Linked DNA regions of Lepisosteus oculatus. The protein of the gene in region 3 purifies or fractionates together with the protein of the main gene of each other region. This does not show direct contact. Links are inferred from orthologs where the notes say so. Each region holds a gene or a part of one and is shown on either strand. Other genes may lie near its edges. The genes, in order: mrtfa, myocd and srfb.

The links.
Region 1: the proteins of srfb (region 3) and mrtfa purify together in Homo sapiens (affinity purification with western blotting; 4 studies listed by BioGRID and IntAct, with this or other methods). This does not show direct contact. The link is inferred for Lepisosteus oculatus from reciprocal best matches to the Homo sapiens genes SRF and MRTFA.
Region 2: the proteins of srfb (region 3) and myocd purify together in Homo sapiens (affinity purification with western blotting; 3 studies listed by BioGRID and IntAct, with this or other methods). This does not show direct contact. The link is inferred for Lepisosteus oculatus from reciprocal best matches to the Homo sapiens genes SRF and MYOCD.

The regions. Positions count from the first base shown.
Region 1 is NC_090707.1:37,901,660-37,908,754, reverse strand, and holds the start of mrtfa (myocardin-related transcription factor A), read right to left. Parts: upstream 3,048-7,095; 5' UTR 2,718-3,047; intron 849-2,717; 5' UTR 788-848; intron 1-787. Other genes in the region: slc25a17 (peroxisomal membrane protein PMP34), read right to left, coding at 5,239-5,389, 5,968-6,050, 6,130-6,225. UniProt on the Homo sapiens protein: Transcription coactivator that associates with the serum response factor (SRF) transcription factor to control expression of genes regulating the cytoskeleton during development, morphogenesis and cell migration.
Region 2 is NC_090704.1:37,590,144-37,597,768, reverse strand, and holds the start of myocd (myocardin), read left to right. Parts: upstream 1-4,540; 5' UTR 4,541-4,647; intron 4,648-7,625. UniProt on the Homo sapiens protein: Smooth muscle cells (SM) and cardiac muscle cells-specific transcriptional factor which uses the canonical single or multiple CArG boxes DNA sequence. Acts as a cofactor of serum response factor (SRF) with the potential to modulate SRF-target genes.
Region 3 is NC_090712.1:6,301,415-6,308,408, forward strand, and holds the start of srfb (serum response factor b), read left to right. Parts: upstream 1-3,914; 5' UTR 3,915-4,467; coding exon 4,468-5,127; intron 5,128-6,994. UniProt on the Homo sapiens protein: SRF is a transcription factor that binds to the serum response element (SRE), a short sequence of dyad symmetry located 300 bp to the 5' of the site of transcription initiation of some genes (such as FOS).

The DNA.
Region 1 (7,095 bases), on a different chromosome or scaffold from region 3:
CGGACACCGCAGTCCAGCGTGGTTCAACACGATGCTGACCACAGGCCCCTCGGACATCGCAGTCCAGCGTGGTTCAACACGATGCTGACCACAGGCCCCTCGGACATCGCAGTCCAGCGTGGTTCAACACGATGCTGACCACAGGCCCCTCGGACACCGCAGTCCAGCGTGGTTCAACACGATGCTAACCACAGGCCCCTCGGACACCGCAGTCCAGCGTGGTTCAACACGATGCTAACCACAGGCCCCTCGGACACCGCAGTCCAGCGTGGTTCAACACGATGCTGACCACAGGCCCCTCGGACACTGCAGTCCAGCGTGGTTCAACACGATGCTGACCACAGGCCCCTCGGACACTGCAGTCCAGCGTGGTTCAACACGATGCTGACCACAGGCCCCTCGGACACTGCAGTCCAGTGTGGTTCAACACGATGCTGACCACAGGCCCCTCGGACACTGCAGTCCAGTGTGGTTCAACCCGATGGTGACCACAGCCCTGCTGGACACTGCAGATCCCTCTAATTCAACACGATGGTGGTGTCTAACAGAGCCCTGTTGGACACAACGGTTCAATCTTCCGGACACTATATTCCCATCCCGGCTCCATCGGAATGCAAACGTCTGACCCTCCCCCCTCCGGCCCGGTACACACCACTTTCACCCCCCCGGAGAATATCGGGCAGGCAAAGAGGAACAAGAGCGAGGGGGAAGAGAACAAACCAGGTGCAGTAAGAGGAAGAGGAGAAGAGAAGCAGACAGAGGAGGAGGAGGAGGAGGAGGGCGATACCTGCTTTACTTCCTGTGTGCGGGGAATCTGGGTATTTCCATTTCAGCAGGACCGCTGCTCACTGCAGGGGGGGGAAGAGAAACACAGGGATTAGGATTTACAGGATCAGCACCCCCCGACTGTGCGTGTTCGTGTGCATGTGAGACCACGAGTTGCACGAAGGTGTTAATGTCTCGTTAATTCCCTTATTCCCACACTGTGGGAAGTGTGAAACCAGGCCGACACGATGCTGTGGAAAGTGGAAACAACCCAAGTCAAGAGCTGTCATGTCACAGTTGTGCAAGATTCCGGTTAAACCCACATCGAGAATCCCGTGCAGGTTTTATTTATCATGCCTGCTCCAGAACCAGTTTTATACAAGAGTTCCTGCAGCTGAAGGAATTCTTCCGGCAGGTCAGCTGGTCACAGAATCCCAACACGCAGATCTACGATTCCTGGATCCTGAAAGAATCTTCTGAACCTCAAACAGGGAAACCTACAGGTATTCAGTATCAAAGACCTCCGCCTCAACCCTTTGGCACAAAAAGGAGAATATTCAGGACTGGAAACAGGAGGTAGTTTTCTTTACACCAAGAGCAGTGGGGGTCCGGAGCAAACTACCCAGCCATGCAACAGAAAGATTCCCTGGGATCCCCTCAGGACAAGGCTGGATGACACCTTGGGATCAACCACAGAAGAAAGTGGGTCCCTGCCCTCTTCTCCGAAATATCTCCTAGGATCTCTCGCCAGGGACGACAGCACACACCCAAAACTTATAAAAAGCAAAAACTATTAGCTGCAGGCTGATTAATTAGGGACTGCAGCCAAACCCTAGATACCAGGGTTGACCTAGTTTGCTGGAACGCCCACATCCTTATCTGAACAGCACCTCGCTCGCAGAAATATCTGCGTTTTCCATCTCCCCTTTGCAGCAGCACCCGTCCGGGTCCGACGGAGGAAACCGCTGGTGGCTTTCAGCCGGAAAAAAAAAAATCCCCCTCAACAGCAGAGATCGCCCCTCTCCCAGCGATTCCGCACGCAGTTCCTGCATCCCATCGGCCAGTGCGCACGGCTCGGGCCCCTCCCGGCCGCACGCGCTGACCTGTCCCCCCGGCAGGAAGTGTGCAGGGGGGACACCATTCCCTGTGACACACCTCCCGCTAATAATTCCTCACAGGAGAGCAGAGTGATGGAGCCAGTTCAGAGAGGGGGGTTATTAGGAGGCCATGAGGGGTAAAGGCCAGGGGGAGATTTGGCCAGGACACTGGGGTTACACCTCTACACCCTGGGATTTTTAACGACCACAGAGAGTCAGGTCCTCGGTTTTACGTCTCATCCGAAGGACAGCACCATTTTTTTTTATTTTTTTTTACAGTGTAGTGTCCCCGTCACTATACTGGGACATCAGGACCCACACAGACCGCAGGGTGAGCGCCCCCTGCTGGCCCCACTCACACCTCTCCCAGCAGCAGCCTCAGTTGATCCCAGGAGTCTCCACTCCAGGTACTGCCCAGGCTCACAGGGGGGTTGTGGGGGGGGGGGGCTCCCAAATTCCTCCTGAACCACCCCGGAGCTCCAGTCGGCGCTCCACAGCGCTGCACTCCCGGGAGACGGGCGGACCAGCACATGGTCCCCGCGGCCCCGAGCCCTGCCCCGTCACCTGGCGCTAGGGGGGGGGGAGACACGACAGCTGTCCGGGGACACCGCCGCCAGCAGCGCCCTGCGCCCTCCGGCACCGCACTGCGGACTCCACGCCCCGGAGCGGACCGGCTGGGCTCGCTGTCGCGGCCGTGGAGGTGGAGGTGAGAGTGGGGAGGAGGGGGGGGCCGGATGGCCCCGCCGCGCCTGTCGCGACACTGACCAGCCGCCCCCCTCTCCTCCCCACGCGTCGCCCCACTCAGGATGACTGCAACACGGACCAGGCGCCCCCACGGCGGTGACACGGACTCACCTGGCGGGCAGCGCGCAGGCACCTCTCCCTGCGGCCCATTTCTCGACAGCGAGGCGGCGTTGGAAAAAAAAAATAAAAAATGAAAAAGGCAGGTTTTTCTCACAGTCACCTCCGCCAGATAAGACTGAGGCAGTATGTTCCAGCTCCAGTTCAAAACACAGACATGTCACAGACCACGGGCTTCCAGCCGGCGGGATAGTGTTACCGAAAGTTGCCTTATTCTGGGTGCCCAGCTGTTCAGAGAATTAATGTTTATAAAGCAGTATTTTCGTCTAGGGTTGTCTCACCCCCCACCCCTACCCACTATCAAAACTAGCTTCCGATTTACAATGTTGAACTTAGACCGGAAATCCCTCCCCCTTCCCGTCCACCCCCCCCCCCCGCCTCCGCAGCCGAGGTCATCCAATCAGCGGGCAGAAACCGGGTCGACTGACGTCGCCGACGGGCCAATCCCGCTCCTTCGCCTGCGCCCCCGCGACCAACTTTTTTTTCTTTAGTTTTTCCTGTGACCGACGCCTGGCGCCGTCCAATCAGAGCGCAGGACCATTTCGGGAGCCTGGCCTTTGCACCAATCAGCTGGCGCTGCGGCAACGGGTTCGCTACGGTGCCGACCAATGGGAAGCGAGGAGGTTTTGATTCCAACTTTTGGCAGCGGGCGTGAGACAGCAGAGGTGTGGAGACGCCTCGCTCGGTCCACTCCCGAGTTATTGGAAGGAAGCAGACAGGCGTCATCGCCAATGTTGCAGTTCAGCTGTTGAGAAAGTACCCAAATGTACTGTATATTTTTATCGTCAGCTTCAAATATGTGAAAAACGTGCTTATAGCTGCACGTGTTGTATGCAGAATCTGCATAGTCACTCAGATGGTATGTTTACATATCGTGTGTATTTATTTTATATATGTTTCGATAACCCATCTGTATTTGGCTGTGCTTCCCTCGTCTTCAGAGAGGGGAGGAGCTGTAAAGGGCAGAGAGCTAAGAGAGGAGGCAGAGGAAAATCACAGCACAGGTATCGGTCATCTCACCGTTTATTCCAGACATCCCGTTCACTAGCCCGGTCAGCCGCACCTGCTGCAGATTGTAATACAACAGTAACCTTGTCGGACACGACGTGTGACCGCACTTCAGGGTGCAGTGGCATTATTTACCTTTAGGGGCGAACGGCGGGGAGAACGTGCAGGCTCCACCCAGACAGGGCTGGATTCGAACCCAAGATCCGTTTGTAATGGATCACAAAATAAAATGTACACATGCAAGGCAGGGAGAGAACGGCGACAGCGGGGTGGAAATGTTTCTGACCCAGGGTACCGGGGTACGGGGCAGGCAGACATCTACCCCAAACAAGCCAATATAATCACCCACCGTCTGAGTGTCCACTTCAACCACAACACCCACATTCAAGTGCCATAAAACTAAGATATCCTTTATTCCCTGGACTATTAGCCAACTTAATCTGGACAACCGATATTTTCTTTTTTCATCATGCAAACTTCGTCTAATAATTTAAAGCTGCTGGTTTGTTTTCCATTGAATGCATGGTTTCTTTTTTTTTTTATTCGTTAATTCATTCAGATTATTTTGTACTGTCTATTAAAAGCCAGGTTTCACCTTCCTGCAAAGCAAATTCCCCCATCTGGGACAATACAGGCAGGAGCTTCCGAGCTGGACACCGACTGCGGGCAGAGGGCTCCGCCTAGCGGCAGGAAGGCGGAACTGCACGGCCCGGAGAGACGCTTCGAGCGCCTTCACGCCCGGAAACGGCAGGGTGTCCTGGGAAAGCCCGGTCCTCGCTGAGCACCGCCGGTCTGACCCCGCCGCGGCTGAGCGACCCACTTGGCACCGGCGGAACGGCCAGAATCATCTCTGAAGCCGGACGCAGCGACCCGACGTCTCGGAACCGAGCCCCCCCCCGGGCCGCGCTGTCGAAGCCGATCCCAGTGGATCCCGATGGACCTGCAGGCGCGGGCTGAACCGCCGGCCTCCGCCTCCGCGCCCACCTGGAGCGCGGGGCTGTGCAGTTCCACCCCCGAGGTGGGCTGGCGGGGGGCAGGGGGCAGGGACAGCGCCCCCTCCAGGTTGCCTGAGCGACCCTCCCTCCTCCCCAGCTCTCGGTCCAGGGCGAAGATGCGCCCCCCTCCGGCTCCCGCTGGGACAGGAGCGTGCTCCCCAGCCTCCCGCCGCCCAGCGGCACAGCAGCAAGGGGACAGGAAGAGCACGCGAGTCGGGCGTCAGGTCCGAAGCGCCGGACCGGCACCCCTTTTATTGGGACGTTGGGGGGCGCCGTTCATTTTGGGGGAACAAGCGAGCGAGCAGTTCGAGCACCACCTCCCCCCCGAGTCAGCTCCCGTAGGGGAGGGTGTGGGAGGCAGAAAGACGTTAACCCCCACCCAGTCCAGACACCAGACATCACCGTCCTCGCGCCATCCGCCACCGCCTGGGGCGGAGCTGCTCTCCACCAATCAGAGCCCGCCACCTGCCCCCCTGTCTTCCCAGGATCCCCCCCGGCGTCGCGTCTGGGCGTCAGCGGCCGGGCACGGTCCTCCGCAAGCCCATGGCCCTGAAGGTGGTGGCGGCGATCTTCTCGTAGAGCAGGAACATGAGGGCAGCGGTCAGGACCGTCTGCAGCAGCTTGGCCTCCAGCCCCTTGAACAGTCCCAGGATGCCCTGCTTCCTGCGCGGGAGAGAGAGAGAGAGAGGGGCGGCGCTCCAGTGTCCAGCTGTGTCTCAGGGTGTTTGGTCCAAGATGGCTGCCGTGTTATCTTACACACTGAGGCCGGGCATGCAAGGAGTGTGCTGCTGCTGCCGGGGCAGGAAGGGGAAATGACTGTGGGGTGGTCGCTCACTCTTCCAGGCTGACGCCACCCCAGTGTGGTCACTCTCTCTGCCCCCCTGCAGTGCGGTCACTCCCCCCACCCAGCCCCCTGCAGTGCGGTCACTCTCCCCTTGCCCCGCCCCCTGCAGTGCGGTCACTCCCCTTGCCCCGCCCCCATGCAGTGCGGTCACTCCCCTTGCCCCGCCCCCCTGCAGTGCGGTCACTCCCCTTGCCCCGCCCCCCTGCAGTGCGGTCACTCTCCCTGCCCCGCCCCCCTGCAGTGCGGTCACTCTCCCTGCCCCGCCCCCCTGCAGTGTGGCCACTCCCCTTGCCCCCCCCCTGCAGTGCGGTCACTCCCCTTGCCCCGCCCCCCTGCAGTGCGGTCACTCCCCCTGCCCTGCCCCCCTGCAGTGCGGTCACTCCCCCGGCCGACTCACCTGACTCTCTGGCTCAGCAGGTGGACGATGCTGCGCAGACCTCCCAGTAGCCGGCGCCCCTGCGGCTGGGCGTGCTGCCCGAACTGAGACAGGAGCAGGGAGAGAGTGAGAGACTGGGGGGGGGGACAGGAGAGAGGACAGGCCGGCCGCGCGGTCACTCACCCGCAGGATGGACTGCACCGTCTGCAGCGGGTAGGTCACGGTGGTGGCCACAGCCTTGGCCACGGCGCCGATCACGAACACCTCCAGGGAGAGCAGCTGCAGCAGCAGGGACAGGGGCGGCCAGTGGTCAGTCACAACCGTCCGCGGGCAGTGCCCCCGTCAGCGCCCGAGCGCCAGGCTCTGACCCAGTGAGTCCGTGTGCCAGCGAGGCAGTGCATCAGTCCGCCAGTCAGGCAGTGCGCCAGACAATGTGACAGGTAGCGTACCAGTCAGGCAGTGTGACAGTCAGGCAGCAGGTCTCTGTGCCAGTCAGACAGTGTGCCAGTGTGACAGTCAGGCAGCAAGTCTCTGTGCCAGTCAGACAGTGTGCCAGTGTGACAGTCAGGCAGCGAGTCTCTGTGCCAGTCAGACAGTGTGCCAGTGTGACAGTCAAGCAGCGAGTCTCTGTGCCAGTCAGACAGTGTGCCAGTGTGACAGTCAGGCAGCAGGTCTCTGTCCCAGTCAGGCAGTGTGCCAGTGTGACAGTCAGGCAGCAGGTCTCTGTGCCAGTCAGACAGTGTGCCAGTGTGACAGTCAAGCAGCGAGTCTCTGTGCCAGTCAGGCAGTGTGCCAGTGTGACAGTCAGGCAGCAGGTCTCTGTCCCAGTCAGGCAGTGTGCCAGTGTGCCAGTCAAGCAGCGAGTCTCTGTCCCAGTCAGGCAGTGTGCCAGTGTGACAGTCAAGCAGCGAGTCTCTGTCCCAGTCAGGCAGTGTGCCAGTGTGACACTCAAGCAGCGAGTCTCTGTGCCAGTCAGACAGTGTGCCAGTGTGACAGTCAAGCAGCGAGTCTCTGTGCCAGTCAGACAGTGTGCCAGTGTGACAGTCAAGCAGCGAGTCTCTGTGCCAGTCAGACAGTGTGCCAGTGTGACAGTCAGGCAGCAGGTCTCTGTGCCAGTCAAACAGTGTGCCAGTGTGACAGTCAGGCAGC
Region 2 (7,625 bases), on a different chromosome or scaffold from region 3:
TGCTCACAAAAATGTAAGAGCATGAGCAGTGTTAGACTCATAGTGCTACAAGCCATCTTGTAACAACAATCGCATTAAGGCTTTCACTACCAAATGACCAAATGAGTGATTTCTTTCCTTTACAGTAGGTATTTCCAATACATTCCTTTTATATTTACATACTGTGTAAAACTCAAGTGCGCACAAACCACTCAAGTTAATGAACAAATTCCACATTTCAAAAACAGTGGCATGGATTTCATACTTCATACTTCACTTACATTTCCTGAGATATTGGCCTGGCCTGCTCTTTTATCTCAAGTATGTCAAGATCAATAGTATAATTGTGTAGTTCCATTTCTAACAACAGTTTTCAACTCCAGTGCTTCTTAAAATTTCAAGCAATTTTTTTACCATTGAATATCTTGAAATTAAACATTTTCATTGAAAACTGTAAATAATTGCTTCTGAATACTATTGTTTTCTACTAAAAGATAAACTAGTGAATTGACATACAATTAGCCATAACATCAATTAGCTTTAAAAAATTGTCTATTTGCTTGAATAAATCTTATTTTTACTTTAAAAAAAGTTTTCATGTAAAAAAGTCTGCTATAATTGAGTATTTAGAGGAAATCACAAGTTTAAAAGCAAAAGTTACAAAAATTGTGAACATCACCACAACTTCTTCTGTGCACTATAGTCCTTTATGTCATATGATGTTAAAATACATCAACATTTGTTTTGCATTATTTTTTAGAATAATATTACGTTGTAATTTTGGCCCATAACCTTTAATTCAAGTCTTCAAAGGGGATGTCGGTAAAAATTAGAATGGTTGCCACTCTCGAATTGATTTTGAGAAGTATGTTGCAGTACAATTGGCTATGCTTGTTAAAGTAATATTCTCTAGCAGCAAAACCAATATCTCACTGAGAAAACACATTTAAAGCCATGACATCTGCTGAATATATAGATCATGTAAAGTATAACATGACCTTGCCTACCTTACCATGAGATACTGTAGCAATCGGTTTGCTAACAAATTTCGGAATACTGTACAGCAGCACTAGTGTGATGGAATATACTGTATACTTGATGTAAGCAGATTAAACTTCATTGTTTTCCAAGGCCATGGCAGATTTGGGGTACTCTGGTCGCTCTTTGCATCTTTGATTTTCGCCTAACCAGGGGAAGTGTATTCTTTAATATAGCATTATGCTTGGTTTAGTACTGGCTTGAACAAGCAGACATCCCTCCTGGAGAATTTGGGTATAGTAACAGATGTTAAGGTTCTTTGCAGTGTTATACACACTGTTTGCCAGGAATGGAATGCCTTGCCACAGAACTGGTTTCCTGATTCCACCATACAAAGTCTAACCACATTTGTGTCTTGCTTAAGACAAAGAGCAGCCCCTCAAAGTTTTAAGCCTCCACATATGATTAAATGCAATGTATGATTCCAGAATGAAGAGTTGTTCTTTATATATGTGACTATTTATTTGCTTACTGTATGTCAAATGAGTATTTGCCATACATGTCCTGTTCCTCCAAACCAGGTTCATTCTCAGTGTTGAACTTTTTATTTTACTAACAAACTCTGTAGGATAGGTTTTAAAGATAAAAAGGTTTTATCTTTACCAGATTGCCAGGCATGGCCTCTTAAAATCTGAATATTTTCAGGCTGAAATCTGCAGTAATTTCACTTCATTTTGTTGGGGCCATTATTCCCATAATCAAGGCATTGTGTGCTGCACCTGTCTTTGAAAGAATATGGGTTTTCATTCATTGCTTTTTATGAAAATTAATGTAAATACAGCCAACAATTAAACACTTGCCTAGTTTTCTGTGCTATGTTAGTTTAATAAGCTCACTTTGACAACATAACTTTTTTTTGTTATTGCAAGGATAATATTCCTTCCAAGAATTTGAATATTTTCAATCAGGCTACCCAGATACTGTACTGCATGTTTTTGGAACAAAAAAATTGTATGTCTTTTTCAGGAGGGTAAAAGTCTCATTGTTTTACGTTTCTTAAACTTGTCAAGTGAACTGCACTCTTGCCAAGTCTATGAACTTCATCTTAAAGCAAGAAAGTTCATGTTTTAAGGTCATGTATTGAGAGAGAAGCTTTTACTTTTACTAATGCAAAGAAGAAATGACCCTGGCACATCATCCTAGATAGACAAAGGGTAAAGAAATGAATCAGAATCACTTTCACCTACTTAATTTCTTACAACCTTTATAAAAAACATGTGTTAGAATGTCAAAACCATTTGCTTATTCCTTTTCAGGTACCACTTGATCCAGTTTCATGTATTAGTATCATTAACACAAATATAATGACACTAATAATAATGATGAGCCAATTTCATATTTTAAAAATACATTACAAGCATAATCTTAGAGTGATACAGTGGTAAAAAAAAGAAAATTAATTGCATAAGGATGACATGGGAGTATTTGATAATACTGCAAACTATGTTCAGTCTGGATAAAGATTGATATCTGCTTTGGCTTTCATTGCCATAAAGGAAAGAATTCAATAACAAAATAAGCTCCTGGCTAGCATGTGCAAAATAGCAGAATAAAATGCATAATACTCTTCCAATAAAAACACAAATAAAATTTGAGGTGTTCTATTTTTGTCTACTGGTAATTTTATTTCTTCAGTGAAACCAACACAAACTTTGCTAGATTTAGACAATAAGACCATGTAAGCAAGGAATTTGTCTTAATATCTGTTAGAAAGTGATACTGCAAAGAACTGCAATATGCCATTAATTTATTTTCTTAACTAATTAAGTGTGTTGTATTTGTTTTACACACCTGTGGCAATAGACTATTCTGAAATTTGTTTACTTTGACAAAAGAAGACATATTCATAAATCGCTTACATCCTGGATAATAAAAAAGCATACTCTACAGAATGGGGCAAATGTAACAATTTTAATGGTATTATACTGTAATATGCATTTAGATATTATAGCAAGATGTTTGTTGTGTAGACTGTATGTAGACTGATTCAGATAATGCTGTACTTCTGTAACATATACTGTACTTAGCCAATTATATTAATGCATAAAGACAATGTAATTAGAACTGTAGGTATTGTAGGTATAAATATTACCCCAGGAACATATTCTGCTTTGATAACTGAATTTATTTATTAACTTAATTTCTTTTGGGGATGTATATCACTTTATATTAATTCTTCTACATGTTAAAATACCTGTTTCTATTACAAATGCATGTTTTAAATAGTGTATTACACTTCCCAGACCTTCTTTTCTGATTTTAATAGCTATTGTAAAAGGAGAGGGTAAGTAACAATGCAGTTAAATAGCAAACAGATGTCTTCAAACATTAAAAACGTAGAAAGTACATCTAATAAGAATTCCAGAGCTATGATGAAGTTAAGAAAACCAGCTTTAATGTGTTATTGAATCTAACTTTATTTTGCATCATTATTGCTTAATATCCTTTCAGACCCTGCTTTATCAGTCAAACTGCTCATTTGTTAGCAGCTCTTATAAAGTTATTTAATAATGCTTACATGGCATTTGAGTACTTTCATTATACCCACTTTGATACCTCTGATTAAACCAAATTCAGACACATACATTAACCTCTATAATCCTCATTTCGCCAGTGTATTAATCTGATGATGAGACCTCTGACAGACTACAGTTTCTGCGAGCAGGTGCACGCTTGTTTCTTGCCACCTGTGATACTGTAGTTTTGAATGACAGAATGAATTATGAAGGACCATGCTTCACCCCGCAACTATCTGCTATTGTCTTTACCAAATGCACAAGTAATGTCAGGAAGTCCTTCATTAAACTATTAATTTAAATTCAATACCCGTTTTCAGTAGGGCTTAGAGTGAAATGCATGTGTCTCGATTTCCGCAGCAAATTCCCTGGAAATTATAAAATGTAACATTGACACTACATCAAAATTAGATTTTTCTCTTTCCGGGGCATTAATTCAGCACAACTCTGTTATGAAATGTAATGTAATGGAAGATTTATGCAGAATAACTTTAAGAGCAAAACGTAAGTAGTCTAATGTAAAACATTATAGTAGCATGATGAAGTCTGATGAAGTGCATATGGTCTCTCATACCAGTAATCACTCTCATTTCATTCTTAAACTTTATCATATGGAGCTGTCTTGGAAATTAGCTCTGCCTTAAAAAAGCATTATACTGTAGATTTCCTAATACGGACACTATCGCCACTGAACTGAAGGGACATCAAAACATATCGGTAACTCATAGAGTTAGTGCATAGAAATAAGATTTGGACTTTGAAGAAATCTAGCTGACGCTATGTCAGAGATGTCATAAGGATTTCACTTCAAACAATATGTCAGACTGCGTAAATCTCGGTTTCAAATACTCCCACGGCATCCATGTAAACCTAGAAACAGTAGCATTGAATATTTCCCGAAGTCTGGCTGCTCCCGTGAATTGGATTCGGCTGTTTCCGTAAGCCGACAGCACAGGGCTCTTATAACTCGGCTCTTAAGGCACGGCAAGTTTACAGACTTGGAGAACCGTAATGAAGCAGTCTGTTAAATTCATAGGCTTCTTCGCTTCATCCCCAGCAGCTTCAGTACATTTCATCAGAGAGAAATAACACCCTGCGCCACAGCTACTTACAGGTATTTTATTACATTCTGTTCTTGGCTTCCAAAAACGCAACGTTAATTGAAGGAACTTGGCCAAAGGTTTATCGAAACAACGTACAATTCTAAGCTAATACTACCTGCTGTGCAGTGTATGCTAGCTCTCCACAAGAGGGGTCAATGCTCTTCATCTGTCTTCTAGTGTTTCTTTTCTGTTTTAATTAATCCAATTAAAAAACACTTCTTTAAAAACAACGTGGAAGTAATCAAAGCTTGCATGCACGAGTCGTTTCTCAAACAATTAGTATTAGGAGAAATGTGTTTGTGATTCAGCATGAATAGTTTTAATGTCTTTTTCCATCTACAGCATTTGCTAGTGATTTTTTAATCCTTAAAATAAAAGTGGGGACCCCAGCTTTACACTGCAATCTTTCATTTGTGTAATCATTTTATATAATTAGAATAATTTGTATTCTTATGTAGTTTTACAGTGGTCATAACAAGTATGGTAAAAATAGAATCCTATAAAGGATGATAGTAATTAAGCAAACTCAATACAATGTTTTAGATATAAAAAGAAGTTGACAAAACTAGTATAAGGTGAAACACTCCAGTCAATGGATTCTTCTGCTTTAAGTCAGTAATGATGGTATTTTATTTTTATATTTTTTAGTTTTTCTACATTAAAAGAAGCTTAAATTGGCTTGGAAGGACTGCAGTGAACAAGCCAAGTTGTACATGTTGTGATACTTTAACATTCAGGCCGTGCTGAAAGAAGTTATGACTTCTAGACTACAACAAGCTTGTACTATCAAAACCCATCTTTCAGAGCAGTTTGCTACACTGCATTGCAAAGTTTTCTCCACTTTTTCCTTCCCTAAACATAACTTGTGCAAAATTCCCAAAGTATTCTTAAGCAATATATATCATACTATTGTAAATACAAAACAATTAACAATAAACAATAGTTCTATACAAACATCTTGAATACTTACAAATTATGCAATATTATGGTTATCACAACCTTACACTGGTTAACAATAACAAATACAATATAACATTAATCACTGTGGTATACCATGATTCAGATGAATCATGTACTGTTTATAACAGGCACAATAGTGTGAAAATTACCATGGTATGTTTTTGCAAGGACCCTTGAATGTTTTAAAGTTAAGTTAGTTGACAAGATTAGTCAAGATTTAGAGGCTGTGCAAGGAAATGATACCATGATTGCTCAGGTCAAACATGACTTGGAAGAAGGATTTGAAAGAATCCTTAGCAAATGGAGTTTCTGTCCATCATTGCTCAGGAAACATAAAATAAAGGCAAGAGAAGCTAGCAAGGTTCTCCTTGTAATTCATCTAGACAACAGTGTTTTTACATTCCAATAATTCTGCTTTGCTGAATATTAAGCTGTTCTTAAAAGGCTATTTTTATGAACAAGGCAGTCAAATGTGTGTTAAGGAATGTGTTTTAACATAGAACAGTTATTTGCGTGTGTTGGGGGAGATTTTTTTGTCATTCATTATATTGAAATTAAACACCATGCATAAATGCAAACTGTATGGACAAACTTTCTTTTTGTTAAAAACAACTTAGTGTGGAAGGTTTGTTTTCCTTATATAAAAAATTCATTTTGAGAATCATCTGGAGTCTTCACATCTTTTCTACAAGCAAAATCAATTTTGAACTTATTAATTGAACAAAGTGGATGCAGTTATTGTAGTAAATAGATCAACACTGTGAAGTCGCCACAAGGAGCATTGAAATTTGTAGGAACTAACAAGTATGTTTTTATAGGAAGGTCCTCAGCTGATTTTAATTTAATTTCTCCTACCAATTTCCAGATCAATCTCCAAGATTTATAAGAAAACAGCTGTATTTCATGGTGTGACCAATCTCACTTTACAGATCTGCCCAAGCAGGAATGTACCTGCTCACAAAAGAGAATTCTGTGCCCACTGGCAATGCTTTTTTTTTTAAAGTCTAGCCTATGTGACTCAAGATGTCATTAATTTACTTGAATTACAGTATGTATTTGGATGATAACCTCCAATCCAAACAAAAAATACCTAAAAGAAATACAGACCTTTTTTGCTATGTGTTGTTGCAGGCCAAAGTAGTGGTTGTTTCTTCCTGGGTGTTTCCGTGGGTCTACACATTCTGCAATGTGCATGATGTATAAAAAAGTATTACAAATACCTATCCTTCTTATAATAGAGGGAGGTGTCTTTTGTGGCCTAGCAGGCTGCACTGAGGTGACCAACTTTTGAGAATTACCTACTGTATGACAGAGATGTTTTGGAGCATCCAATTAATATACAGTGACCTAATATATTTGAAACTGAATTTCAATATGGTGTGCTTTGTTTTTGCTTTGTTGTTTGCTTATTTCTGCTTTATTTTTGACCAAATTACATATTATATTTTGTAAAAACCTCTATTTGTGTGCAGAGTTTTAGCATATAAAACAGCCTTTTTCACTGATTTACTTTGTTTGTAAAGTGTCACAGCCACAAACTTTGGAATAATTATATCCACATTTCTATATCAATACCCATAATCATTATCTAAATACTGTAAGGTAGATCTGATTTAGTGATAATTATGGTTCGTGAAACCATTCCTACATATTTTGCATATTTAAGTAATTTAATCCACTAGATTCCCAAGATTTCTGCAGCCTGTAGTTACATAATTGAACCCTAATTTCAACTCATTTTAAATGTTCAGTTTTCAAGTTATTCCTTTAGCAGTTTTACAAATAGAGGTTAATGTAGGGTGACTAAACTGGGATGACTTTTGCTTATACTGGGGTGGCTTAAGCTCCCTCACACTTTTTGGAAGATCTGTCACTGGGTGACGGGTATTGAGGACTAGAATAGAATTGAGACGTACTATACTGGGATGTCTTGCTTTAATGAAGAAGTACAGTATTAAAAACCTTATAAGATCTATCAATGCTAACTGCTTGTAAAGAAACTATGTTCAATGGTGCAAGGTTTCCACAC
Region 3 (6,994 bases):
TGTCTAAAAGGCATCAGATACTAGGTGGCCTGTGATTTATACGGTACAGAGCGCCGGTTATATGAAGTGGTATATGCTCTCCCTCAGTTTGTGGGTTTCCTCCAGGTGCTCCGGTTTCCTCCCATAGTCCAAAAACCTACCAAAAGGTTCACTGGCATCTGGAGAAACTGGCCCTGGTGTGAGTGAGTGTGTGTTTGTGTCCTGTGTGCCTGTCCAGAGTTTGTCCAGCCTTGTGCCCACTCCTTGCCAGCGTAGGCCCAGGCTGCCTTGTGACTCTGTGTTGGATGAAGCAATGTTGGTTAGCAAACAGATGGATTATATGAAGCATCTTGAGCCTTTTAATGTTTGTCAAATGAACGGAGGGTTTTTCTCCCTCTATAACTTGACCTCTAGCATCACTTCCTTTCCTGGATTTTAACCGGATTGGGTAGGTGAACGGGTGTGCAAGACAAGAAGACGAGTTTACAGGCCAACCGCAGAGGAGCAGCAGACTCTTGGAGCCGGAGGGGCGACAGATATTTAAAGCTCCCTGAAACCATGTTGCTGAAGAGTAAAGGTTTTCCAGGCAAAGCAAGCTTCAAAGAAGCTCCGACATCACCGAAACCACAATCCTTTCGGCTGAAGAAAACTGCTCAACACCAAACACACTTCCCTATCAGCTGCAGAAATACCCAGCTATTGATGTTAACGCTGAAAACCTCTCAGCGCATTCTTGGCTGATCGTATCATGTAGTCCACAAATTTTAAAGAGCAGGGTTCTGCACGACAATAAATTACGATCAGGAACCAGCGCTTCCTGAAAGGCGAAAAGCAGCTCAAATCACAGTAGCCTCACAGTTTAGACCTCTGTGAGACACTAGAACTCTGGGCTGTGTGGCAGGCCTGACCGTTTAGTGAACCTATTTTTTTTCAGCGCGTCCAGCACTGCGCAGATGGTTCCCGTGTGCTTTATCATCTTGCGGCGGCAGCAGAGCCAAGACTTCCAATCCACTGATCTACAAAGGATCATTACCACAGAAACAATGTACCCTCACCCAGACGCCAATCTGTTCCAAACCTGAGTTTATAGAAAAACTAGTCATGGATGACTCACCTACAGTAACCCTTGATCATGCTAAAGCTTTTGTGAAATGCTTCTCCTTGACATGCAAATTGGGCTTATTTTTATCCCACTCTGTCCTGTCGTGTTCTGATTTCAAGGGTTCTTCACTGTCCCTGCTCCTGCTCTGTCTTTAACCGGTATCCTCTCCTTCCCTGGGCTCATGGCGTCAGTGGTGGTGTCTCGCAGGGCCGGGCAGCCTCCACGCTCCTGTCAGAGCTTGAGATGGAAAACTCCGGGCCCAGACCCCTCCAGCTGCGCCCCGCAGCTGCCTGGTGTCCCAGCTGACAGGAGAAGATCTGGATGAAGACGTTCACTGGAAGTATCCCAAGCAGCAGGCCTGTGTGTTGTGGGGTCTCTGTGTGCGGGGGGCAGGGGGGACTTGCACCGGCTGAGGAGGTATCCAGATGTTATGTCTCCACACACCCCTCTCTCTGGCCTCTCGGAGAGCCAGACTCTTCCTTCTGTCTTACACAGGGCATGGCTGTCCTCCCCCCCCCCAGGAGAAGCACAAACCGCACTGCAGACGATGGAGGAAGGAGGAAGGGTGACCAGACGTGTGCAGGGGGCCGGAGAAGTGCTGCTCTTCTCCGGAGCTGGGAGTCCTGCAGGTCTCCTGACTCGGGACAGGTACTGCTTCCCCTTGGACAGAACTACACTGCCAGACCCGTCCAGCATTGTGTTTGTTTGTTTTTACAACATTAAACAGATGATTCATTTTTAAAAGGAAAGTTAAGAAGAAAAAAAAACTTGAAACTCGTACCCGAGTGTCAAAACACTAACGGGCTTAAAAGTTTCATTTCTTTCACACTGGAGGAGGCACAGACAAGGACACACAGTTACTTCAATTTCAGGTACAGCAAGCCCAGGAAAGGCCCTGCCTGCTATCATACAGACACGCCGACACTGCCACGGCAGTTAAAACCCACAAGCCCAGCTCTCTCAACAGGGGCGCCTCATAATTGCCAAGAACGACGAGCCCTGCCGATCATGCCTCTTCAGGGCTGGTTAAATGGGTAAGACTGCCTTCCCGTTATCTAGGCTTGCATATTTGAGCAAGGCCTAATCTAATTTAATGCAGCATCCAGTTAAACAGTTTCCATAGCAACCAAGCCACCCTGGCAAGAGTTGGTGATACAGTGAAGTGAGAAGACTGTGGAGTGCCTGACAGGTTTGTTCTAAGGTGTCTGCACCCACTGGCCCTCGCTAATTAGGAACATCGGCAAACGCACAGAGCTGTGTTTTTTTTAGTCCCGTTCAGTTTTAAACGCAGTGCTCAAACCCCCTAAACAGTTCGGCCACATAATGCTTAACAGCTACAGTTTCACCGCCAGGGTGTTGAGAACTAACGAGGGACGCGACGAACCTGAGATAAAACTTCGTGACTGATCTAATATTTAAACACGCAGTCGGACATGAAGGTATGAGCATCACCCATCTCCAATAGTGTCATTCACTACTTTGTTAGGAGCAGTAAATCCGACCTGTTAAATGATACTTATTTAAAAATGATTACTTATACTTCTCCTGAACACCCATTCAATCCAGCAAGTTGCAAATGTACTAATTGCGCATTTAATTGCAGACACAGGGCGTGGTCACGTATTTCTTCTTACTTCCCTGTAGAGTCTTTTAATTGCACGAGGGGCACTTTGAAAAGACAAAGCAATCCCTCCTTGTTTTTCTATGCCATCAGGAAAAGTTCATCTGTGTGTTGAATCTGTGTATCTCTGCCGGATACTACTGCTTTTCATTTGGAGGTAGATTATTTTTTGGAATCTGTGAAATCTTTCAACTTGCATTAATGTTAATATATCAAAGTTATGTGTTCTTTCTGGATTATAAACGTTATGTACGGCTTTGAAGAAAATACTCTTGAAGTGCATTACTCTTATAGCTAGTATATATCACGTCCATAGTGACATAAAATCCCAAACGAATAGTTTTGCTCTGTCATTTTCTAAAATATTCCTAGATATTCAAAGGTTTTTCTAAGAGGTATCCTAGAGGTCTTACACTGATCTGTTTGTTGATACTCTCTGAATGCACGATGTATTCGAAAAAACATTGTATGTACTACAGAATATCCAGCATGTGTTGGAAAACCCTGTGCCTGGAAATAAGAAGAAGATGTGGAATAAGAAATGGATGTGTTAGAGCACAAACAGGGGTCATGATATCAGGATCGGGGCGAAGACAATTGATGAGTGGACGGGGTCAGACACAGCAAGATGAACAGGTCATTGCTGAACCAATGTTGGACCAGGTAACTAGTGATCCATTTCCATGTGACCTAAAGTGACCAAGACCTTCCGTAAAGTGACAAAAGGAGACCAATAATTATGACGGGGCAAGCTATACCACCACAACAGCTTAGTTTGTAGAAGATCTTACGTGAAGCCCTTATCCATGTGTATATCGGCAAGGGATTATGGTTTATTTGTACAGTACAACAGTGAACAAATTAAATACAGCAGTGAATAAATTACAGTTCATAAAACCTTGTTTGATAAGGCCCCTGCAGTAGAAAAGAAAGAAACTCAAGCCGTTGGCACTGTGATATGTGAAAGCCCCTAACTGTACAGCAGCTAACTCGGGACTTTAACTCCGTGCCTGTCTCTTTAAACTCGACCACCAGCCTTCCTCCCGTCGCTGACGTCAGGGGGATGAGCGCAACCATCTTGGTATTTATTCTAATGACCGGGCGCCTGGCGTCCAATGGCGGCGCAGGTTCGGGCGGCTGCGGCCAATGGCGGCGCGGCGCTGTGACTCACCAAATAAGGAGAGCCGCCACCATAAAAGGAAACGTTGTATCTCTTTATATGGAGGAAAGTAGATCGCTACCTATGGTATCCGTCCACGGGGAGCGAGTTGAAATAAGCGAATTTAGCCGGTTCCCCCTCGGCGCCGGCGCCGTCTGAAAGCGAGTTAGGTGATCCGGAGGACGGGTAGGAGCGTCGGCTGCCATCCCGGGCGCGCTGGCGGGCTCCCCGGCGGTGTTTTAATGTGGGGACTACGTGACATGGCGGAGTGATGCGTAGGGCGTGATCCGCGTTTTCCTTTTGGAGAAAGTGCAGCGAGTTTTGGAAATAGAGGAGGTTGAGCTTGACTGAGCCGGGGGTGAGGGGTCTTATGGGGGGCAGCATCACTTCTGAAACTTAACTTCTCCCGTTATAAGGGGACGTCGGAGCCTTTCTGACTTTCCGGACCGCTGTTTTCTTTTTTTTTCTTCTCCTCCTCTCCCTCCCTTCCCCCGTTGACCACCTCGCTGGCCGGTGTATGTGCTTTGCTGTAACAAGACGAGCACGCACGGGCCCCAGCGAGCGGCTGGCTTTCTTTAAAGACACCCCCGGGGGCAGCAGAGTATAATGTTACCGAGCCAGGCTGGGTCGGCACCAGCTGGAAACGGGTCGTCTGCGGGCCGGGGCAACACGGGTCACAGCTCGGGGGCGGCCGGGAGCGCGCTGCGCCCGGGTCTGGGCAGGACGGGGTTAATCGGAGTGGCGGCCGGGGTCAGCGGCAACGGCGGCGGGGTGGGACGGTCGGGGGACGGGGCAGGGATGCTGGGGGGCAACGGGGCAGGGGGAGGCTCCCGAGGAGGGTCCCGGCCGGGCAACGGGGCAGGGCTGGCCGGGCTGCAGGGGACTGGAGTAGGGGGCATCGGGGGAGTGACGCCCGCCGTCGGGATGCACGGGGCCGGGAGGTACGAGCCCGAGCGGGACAGCACGCCTCAGGTGTACAGCGGCTCGGACGCCGACTCGGACTCCGGGGATGACGACGACCCCCTGGGTCCGGCCGGGGACGGCAGGAGAGGGGTGAAGCGGGAGCGGGCGGAGATGGAAGCCGCCGGCGCCGGGCAGGAGACCGGCGTGCCGCCGGGGGCATACGGCGGGGTGTCCGCCGGGGTGGCCGGCGCGAAGCCGGGGAAGAAGACCAGGGGGCGAGTCAAGATCAAAATGGAGTTTATCGACAACAAGCTGAGGCGGTACACAACTTTCAGCAAGCGGAAGACGGGCATCATGAAGAAGGTGAGTAACGAGATTGCCCTGCCAAGTTCGCGGCCGGTGGAGGTGTCGGGGGAAGTTTTTTTTTTTTAACGAGTCCCGTCCTCTATCCCCCCACTCCCCCCCGATGCGAGGCCTCGCACTGTCCCCCCCCCGGGGCTGGAGAAGTTAACGGTTGGCGTATAAGTTGCTTTAAGCGACGATGCAGCGGCGGGCGACCCCGCGGCTTGAGAGCGGGGCGAGTCGAGAGATGGAGCCGGAACGCCGCCGCCGCAGCAGGGAGAGCGTCTGGTCCGGTGAACAAGTTCGTAAAACCTGGGAAAGGATGAGCTGCCCAGCGAGCACACCGTCGGAAACGGCACACCGGGTTGTCGAAGTCGTCGTCGTCGTCGTCTGCTCCCAAGACCAGTTCTGTCAGCGCCCGGGCTCCGTCCGGCGTCATGTGTCGGTCGTGAGAAACTTCGCCAGTCCGTGTTTCAGCCCGTGTGTAGCCGCGGAGCCTGTTCTGTTGTGTCTGAGCTGTAAGAAGTGTACTTCACTTTTTTTTTTTACTTTCCGACTTTACCGCTTTCCCGGCCCTCTGGAAATCTGCAGACCTACCCTGCTGAGATATCTGTTGTGTTTTTGTTTTTCGCTTTCCAGAGAGACCACGCTCGTCCGCGCACACACACAGAAACATGGAGCAAGGGGGGGAGTTGTGGGCCTATCGGCAACAGCAGAAAATATCCCCAGAATCGGAGAGTGTCTCCACCTGAATTATTTTTATCCGTGTGCCGGGGGGTGGACGGTTGTCTTTTTCTCTCCGCCTCTGCCCAGTGAGAAATCAGAGCGCGGATTACACAACGCGGCCCGCCGTCTGGGGAGCCGCTCTCGCACTGCCGAGGTGTTTCTCGGGGGGGTGTCTCCTCCAGGGGGTTCGGGGGTGAGCCCGTCTCCCTGAGGGGGTACCGACGGAGAGCGGGGGAGTAGGCGGCGGCGGCGGGGGGGGGGATGGAGAGACGAAGAGGAGAGCTGCCGCAGCGCGCGAGGCCGGGAGGTGGGGGGGGGGAAGCGAAACTGACACGGGCTCGCGCTGGAGTAGCCGCGAGGCTCCCGGCGGTGTTTACTAGTGACCGGGGGGGGGGGGGCGCCGCGCACGTGCGGACCTCCAGTCAGGGGAGAGAGCGCCCCCCCCCCTCCTTCGCCGTAGGTGGAAACTACAGCGGACACGGTGGGCTCAGAACAAGAGGCAGGCGCTTTAAATAGAAAAGAGCAACTGGCAACCCCTGTGCCCACCCTCCCCTCCCTGTGGCCTGTGCCGGTGTTGGTGTCGGTAGTACCGAGCTGCTGGTCGGGTGTGTGCGCGACCCCAAGGGCTGCCTGGCCAGAGGCTGGCGAAGCTAGAGCATCGGGGAAGTGTGTTTCCGTCACGGAAGGTAGCGGACAGGTGGCATGGGCTGCGGTCTCGGTCCTTGTTCTCTGTGCTCTGGACCCGTTCCCACTATCGACAATGATCCCAGCTCCACAGCCTGCAACGGAGCTCTTTTCTGAAATGCGGTGTAATTATCTGTTAACAGTCGCTTTCCTGCGTGGTGTTTCTTCACCCTACGTCCCCTCAGCAGTTTGAAGAACATCTTGCCCGAGGGCCCGTGTGAGAGCACGGCGTGGCCCCTGTCCTGTCCGCACGCAGCTCCTCCGGCTCCGATTGATCCGAGGGCCCGGCAGCACTCCCACGGCCCGGCCTTGGTCTGAGACGGGAGTCCCTCCGGCCCTCTGGTTCTGCTGCACTTCCACATAGTCCTTCAGGGAAGAGCATTTCAATCTCAGACCAGCAGGCACTACGAGCTGATTCCCAAGAGACACTTTGCTGATGTTTAATTACATGTTGATTAATTCAATGTCACTATTGCCA